2 linked regions of the Ovis aries genome follow. The protein of the gene in region 2 interacts with the protein of the main gene of each other region in a pairwise test. Links are inferred from orthologs where the notes say so. Each region holds a gene or a part of one and is shown on either strand. Other genes may lie near its edges.

Region 1 (3,653 bases), on a different chromosome or scaffold from region 2:
CACCAGTCGTTCCCATCCAGAGCTACTACTACTACTACTACTAAGTCGCTTCAGTCGTGTCCGACTCCGTGCGACCCCATAGACGGCAGCCCATCAGGCTCCACCATTCCTGGGATTCTCCAGGCAAGAACACTGGAGTGGGTTGCCATTTCCTTCTCTGATGCATGAAAGTGAAAAGTGAAAGGGAAGTCGCTCAGTCATGTCCGACTCCTAGTAACCCCATGGACTGCAGCCCACCAGGCTCCTCCATCCATGGGATTTTCCAGGCAAGAGTACTGGAGTGGGGTGCCATTGTCTTCTCCCATTCAGAAGCTAGATCTTGCCAACCTCTCAAGTGGTCTGAGTTGCATGGAGATGAGAACTAATGCAGTCCCTGATGCAGTGTCACGTACATTGCAGGTGTTGCTGATCTAGCATCACTTGGAAGTGCAGCTTCAGCTGCTTAGTTGTGGGTACCTGCTATGTGAAGGGCAGAGATACATTTGCTGTGTCTGACAGCCCATGGGAGGATAGGTTCTGTATGTTCTACCTTGCAACATAAGGTCATTCTTGGAGTCAATTATAAATGCCAAAACATAGATTAAGATGTTTCAGGAGAATAAAAAGGTAAGGCTTGGTCAGTGTCTCCCTTTAATTTTCTTGTTTCTAGATCCTTTGATACTGAAGTGTGGTCTGCTAATTGGCAGCAATGCCAACATCTGGAAGTCTGTTAGAAGTGCAGAATCTCAGGCCCCGCTGAGACCCACTGAAGCAGACTCTGTATTTAACAAGATTCCCGGGTGCACGTTAAGGTTTGAGAACCACTAGTTTAGGCTTCAAGGACGTTAAGTGTCTTTGTGAGTGCTCAGATCATGAGGACAGAAGGTGGATTCTGCTACATGGAAGCAAGTCATGGGTTGGCTTGGGAATTGTCCCTCTAGTGGTCCCAAGAGGAGGCAAGATATGCTCTCATAGAATACATTTTTTTCCTTCCTGGATGCTAATAGAACATTATATAAACTATTCAATTTAGATTCAATCAGCTAGATTTGAAAGGAATGTTAAGAGATGGGCTATTTGTTCTGTTCATGTTAGGCCAAGAAGGTCAAGGAAGAGTCATATCCCTTGACGCTGAGTGATGGCAGTTGTAGAGGTCTGTGAGAGATACATACCCTCCCCTCACTAAAAGCTGAATCTCAGGAGATAAGAACTGGAATTCCACTGGGGATTACCTTCTAATCTTTCCAAATCATGAAGAGTCTAGATATTTTCTTTAGAAAAAGTAGCAATTTAGAGGAATCACAGCTGATAGATCACGGAGGCTGCTTTTCTAATTCCAATTTCTGTTCTCTTTCTACTGTTACAGGCTTTCCTTTGGGAAATATTATTCTCTTCAAGCAGTCTCTTCAAATTACTTTGGTTCCAAAATTGCAGTCTCTTTCAATAGAGAAGCTGCCTTTGAAGTGGAATTGGGGCTTTCAGATGCATTTCTGGCTATGAGTTAAATATATGTTTGGTTTAAGCCAATCTCGGGCTCTTAAGATTTCAGGAACTTATCCCTTTTGAATGGGCCAACCACACAGAGTCCAGAGGAACAGATCTGAGTGACCAGATCCTAGTGGTCAATGAACTAAGTGCAAACTTTCCCGACTACCCACCTCCATGCCATAGCTCACACCCTCCCATCTTTCCTACAGGGCCCAGAGCCTTTCTTACCTTGGCAGCTCTTGGATACACCAGAGTCTGGTAGATAACAATTGGGCCTGGAGTCTTCACAGAGCTATCGTTGAATGAGTACCAGTTGTGGAAGCTATTGCTATTCTGCACAGGCTGGTTTTCTACCCCGGTGCTCCAGTAGGTGTAGAGGCCGTCTGTGGGCTTGGCAGGTGCAGCTGACTGGGCTCGCCCATAGGCTTCCAGACCTATCTTGGTTTTCTCACAGGCAGGGGCATTGAAGGACAATAAGGAGGAGCTTCGCTGGTATATCTGCTGGTTATTGAAGCTGTGGGTGCTGAAAGTGACCTTCCTGGCGATCATCATTTCTGACTGCAGGGGGTAGGAGGACGGCAGGGAGTCCCCAGAGGAACACACCTTCTTGGGTCCTGTGGGGAAGAGCTCGTGAATGGCACTGGAGAGCTCAGCAAAGTCCAAGGGCATGCAGTTCAAGGAGTGTAGCCGGAGCTGTGGGTCGGGCCTATAAGTGCTCTGGATGCCATCCTCGATCTGGTCCACCAGGATCTTGGCTGACTGCAGGAATGCCACTTGGCCTGTCTCCTTGAGCGCCTCCTTGGAGTAGGCAATCAGGCCATCCATTTCGTTCACCTTCATGGTAGTGACGTACACATACTTTTCAATTTCCTTTTGCCTGGACACCTCCAGATTCTCTATCTGCTCCATGATGGTTTTCTCTTTCTCCTGGAGAATGCTGCGCAGCTTGAGAAATCCATTTCTGATCTCTTTCCGCTTTACCTCCTTGTCAGCTTTAAAGCTGTTTTTTAAAATATTGAATTCCATGAGGTCATTATCAATTTCATAGCGGACTGCAAAACAATCAAGTTAGTTACTTCAGTTAAAATTTTCAGTTCCCCAGATATCAAAGCCAGTGGCAAACTGGAGCATATTAACTTGGGCTCCAAAGAAGTGGGTGGAAAGGGAGGAAAACCACTTGTTGCTGGGCTTAAAGATGCTAGCATAGGTTTGTAAAGTGACTCTGGCCCCTCTCCACACACCCTTCTCTTCCTCTTTGTCTAATATTTCCTTTAGGTATGACAGCCAGCCTTCCCTGGCATACTTCTATCTAATAATTCTTACAGCCTTGGGTCTAAAGGTGGAAGTTCAAGGCCACCCTTGATATTAGTTTTCACTCAACTTTACCTGTTAGCAAGTTGGACGTGAGAAGAGGTGATGTCACAAAGTGATGGATTTTCCCTATGTGAAAGCCTAAGCTTTTGCAGGGGTGGGAGAAGAAATAAATTTCTGATGACTACTTCTAAATATTGCTTTGTCTCGTTCACCAAAACCCAGCCCTAGACAATAGTGGCAAACCAGCAAAGTTCCCCTTCACTGTGGCTTCTCTGACATGTCCTTTTCCTTTGCCGGGGGCTTTGACTCCCTTGGGTTCAGCTGGACTCCCTGTCTTGCCTACCCCACTTCCCACTTCCTTTCCAGAAAGGGTCTGCTGTTACAAGTCAAGGAAAACCAAGTTCATCCTGCAGCCTTGACATGGCATTTGGATTTTAAGTCCTCTCAACCATTCAACAACCATTTATGGGACACCTATTCCACATCATATACTTTTCTAAGCTCTAGGGATACAGATATGAGTATGAGAGGCCACTGATGCTCTAGGAATGCACAAACCCAATGATACTGCAGTGGGGAGGATGCCAGGGCAGGGTGAGCATGTGGCCCACCTCTGTCTGTGAAATGGCAACTTCATTGTCTTTACAGGGTTTTAGGCGTTAGACAACAATTTGAATACAGGTCAGCCTTCTGTGGCCTATTCTAGAGGTAAGGTCCTCTCCAGGAAAGGCTGACTCTGCAGTGAATTGATGGGCTATAATCCTTTCCAGATTTTACTCAGCCATGAGGGTGACCAAATCTTGGTTGGTGACATGGTCCTGGATCCACAGTAAGTTGGATCTCTGTGGGTGGTGGCCTTTGTGACAATGATG
Region 2 (3,653 bases):
CAGTGGGGTAGATATTTACCAATGATGTATGTGCCCTTGTGCCTACCATGTCTCAGTGCCCTTAAATTTAAGTGGTACCATTGAATATTTCCAGACATTAGGGTGAAAATGAAAGCGACATGGGTCATTTCCAGGTGAAAACATTTAGAGGTCAATGCCTGAACCTCCAGCTCTTTCTTACCTCTTGCAGTTACCAAGGACACCACATGTCAGGATGCTAGAAGGTCAGACTGGGTCCTGAGTGATTATTTGGAAAGCTGGACTTGCAAAGTTAGTAGGGAGAGTGACCAAACAGTAAACTTTATGCTTATGTCATTCAGATTTGAGGGTTAATGTATTACTGTGACATAAACCCTATCCTGAGCAGTAAACGAAACTAACATGGGGTTTCCAAATTTCTAGTATGTGAAATAAGGAGATTTTAAAAATAAACAAGATGAATGGAGAGAGTAACATGGAAGCATATACACTGACTTATGTAAATAAACAGCCAATGGGAACTTGCTGTAGGACTCAGGGAACACACACTGGGGCTCTGTAACAACCTAGAGAGTGGGACAGGGTGGGAGGTGGAAGGGAGGTTAAAAAGGGAGGGGACATATGTACACCTATGGTTAATATATGTTGATGTATGACAGAAAGCAAACCAATATTGTAAAGCAATCATAAATCAATTAAAAATAAATGAATATAAAAAATAAACAAAAGTCCTCTCCATATGCCATCATTATATAAAAGACATAATACTTTAGAAACAAAAAATATAAGATACAATCACAGAACAAAGGATGATTCCATAAACTGAATAAACCCAGAGGGATGGGATGGGGAGGGAGGTGGGAGAGGGGTTCAGGATGGGGAACACATGTACCCCCGTGGCAGATTTATGTCAATGTGTGGCAAAACCAATACAATATTGTAAAGTAAAATAAATAGATATGACTATTTTATTCTTCAGGGAGCCCTTGGTAGCTCAGACAGTAAAAAGTCTGCCTGCAGTACGGGAGACCTGGGTTTGATCCCTGTGTTGGGAAGATCCTCTGGAGAAGGAAATGGCAACCCACTCCAATATTCTTGCCTGGAGAATCCCAAGGACATGGGATCGCAAAGAGTCAGACACGACTGAGTGACTTCACTTCACTTTATTTTATTCTTCCTTAATTATATCATTATGCTGGGCAAAAGCTTCATCATGAAAGAGAAAATTGATCTTCCCAATGATATTTGAGAATCACAGATCCAGATATCTAGAATTACAGATCATGATAACCACGCCACGGTGTGATCACTCACCTAGAGCCAGACATCCTAGAATGGAAGTGAAGTGGGCCTTAGGAAGCATCACTATGAACAAAGCTAGTCAAGGTGATGGAATTTCAGCTGAGCTATTTCAACTCCTAAAAGATGATGCTCTTAAGGTGCCAGCAAGTTTCGTAACTCAGCAGTGACCACAGGACTGGGAAAGATCAGTGTTCATTCCAATCCCAAAGAGAGGCAATGCCAAAGAATGCTCAAACTACTGCACAATTGCATTCATCTCACATGCTAGGAAACTAATGCTCAAAATTCTCCAAGCTAGGCCTCAACAATATGTGAACCAGGAACTTCCAGATGTTCAAGATGGATTTAGAAAAGGCAGAGGAACCAGAGATCAAATTGCCAACACCCATTAGATCAAATTCTAGAAAAACATTCACTTCTGCTTTATTGACTAAACCAAAGCCTTTGTCTGTGTGGATCACAGCAAACTGGAAAATTCTTCAAGAGATGGGACTACCAGACCCTGTCTCCTGAGAAATCTATATGCAGGTCAAGAAGCAACAGTAAGAATCGGGCATAGAACAACAGACTGGTTCCAAATTGGGAAAGGAGTACGTCAAGACTATATATCATCGCCTTGTTTATTTAACTTCTATGCATCGTAAGAAATTCTGGGCTGTATGAAGCACAAGCTGGAATCAAGATGGCCAGGAGAAATATCAAAACCCCAGATATGCAGATGATACCACGCTTATGGCAGAAAGTGAAAAGGAACTAAAGAACCTCTTGATGAAAGTGAAAGGGGAGAGTGAAAAAGCTGACTTAAAACTCAACATTAAAAAATCAAAGATCATGGTATCCAGTCCCATCCCTTCACGGCAAATGGATGGGGAAACAATGGAAACAGTGAGAGAATTTATCTTCTTGGGCTCCAAAATCACTGCAGATGGTGACTGCAGCCATAGTAAAAGATGCTGGATCCTCGGAAGAAAAGCTATGACCAACCTAGACAGCATATTAAAAAGCAGAGACATTACTTTGCCAACAAAGGTCCGCATAGTCAAAGCTATGGTTTTTCCAGTACTCCTGTATGGATGTTAAGAGTTGGATCGTAAAGAAAGCTGAGCAACGAAGAACTGATGCTTTTGAGCTGTGGTGTTGCAGAAGACCAGAGAAGGCAAAGGTACCCCACTCCAGTACTCTTGCTTGGAAGAGTCAGACACGACTGAACGACTTCACTTTCACTTTTCACTTTCATGCATTGGAGAAGGACATAGCAACCTACTCCAGTGTTCTTGCCTGGAGAATCCCAGGGATGGGGGAGCCTGGTGGGCTGCCGTCTAAGGGGTCGCATAGGGTCAGACATGACTGAAGCGACTTAGCAGCAGCAGCAGCAGCAGTTGGAGAAGACTCTTGAGAGTCTTGGACTGCAAGGAGATCCAACCAGTCAATCCTAAAGGAGATCAGTCCTGAATATTCATTAGAAGGACTGAAGCTGAAGCTGAAATTCCAATACTTTGGCCACCTGATGGAAGAACTGACTCATTTGAAAAGACCCTGAAGTTGGGAAAGACTGAAGGCAGGAGGAGAAGGGGACAGCAGAGGATGGGATGGTTGGATGGCATCACCGACTGGGTGGACATGAGTTTGAGTAAACTCCAGGAGTTGGTGATGGACAGGGAGGCCTTGAGTGCTGCAGTCCATGGGGTCACAAAGAGTCTTAGACTACTGACAGACTGAATTGAACTGATCTAGATATTTTTTAAATGGTGAGAGAAGACTGTTGACCCAAAGCAACTAAAAATATATAATGACAATGTCCAACATTACCTGTCTTTCAGTGAGATCCAGATTCACTGCTATCTCATATCGCCTCAGTCTGGTCAGATAATTATGATGGGCAAATTCTGCTTCAAGTTCTCTGATTTGCTCTTTGGTAAAAGCTGTTCTTTCCTTTCTGGGTTTGCTGTTGACTTCTGACTTGTAATTTCCTTCCTGGGAGTCTGGTGAAAAAAAGTAAAAGAATTAGATTTAGTTCATTCACTCAAACACATTCAATCATTTAATTTAGAACAGAAACATTTACTGAATAACTACTTTTCCAGGTACTCTATTAAACACAGTAAAAATAGAGAGAAACCAAAGACAGTAAGATTTATCTTGACAGGGTGAGATAAATTGCATTTTTTTCCTATGCGCCCTGAGGTGACTCACAGCCTAACTGGGGCTGTGTCTAGTTTTCTTCTTTTGAAATATCAATATACACACAAAAAATTAACTGTTCTTAATATGCTTCCCTGGTGGCACAAATGGTAAAGAATCTGCCTTCAATGCAGAAAACACTGGTTCAGTCCCTAGGTTGGGAAGACCCACTGGAGAAGGGAATGACAACC

The links.
Region 1: the proteins of MEOX2 (region 2) and TRIM42 interact in binary tests that used the Homo sapiens proteins (3 or more experiments, as listed by UniProt). The two-hybrid records come from large-scale screens. The link is inferred for Ovis aries from reciprocal best matches to the Homo sapiens genes MEOX2 and TRIM42.

What each region holds. Positions count from the first base shown.
Region 1 is NC_056054.1:248,855,706-248,859,358, forward strand, and holds part of TRIM42 (tripartite motif-containing protein 42), read right to left. Parts: intron 2,520-3,653; coding exon 1,696-2,519; intron 1-1,695.
Region 2 is NC_056057.1:25,002,700-25,006,352, forward strand, and holds part of MEOX2 (homeobox protein MOX-2), read right to left. Parts: intron 3,264-3,653; coding exon 3,091-3,263; intron 1-3,090. UniProt on the Homo sapiens protein: Mesodermal transcription factor that plays a key role in somitogenesis and somitogenesis and limb muscle differentiation. Required during limb development for normal appendicular muscle formation and for the normal regulation of myogenic genes.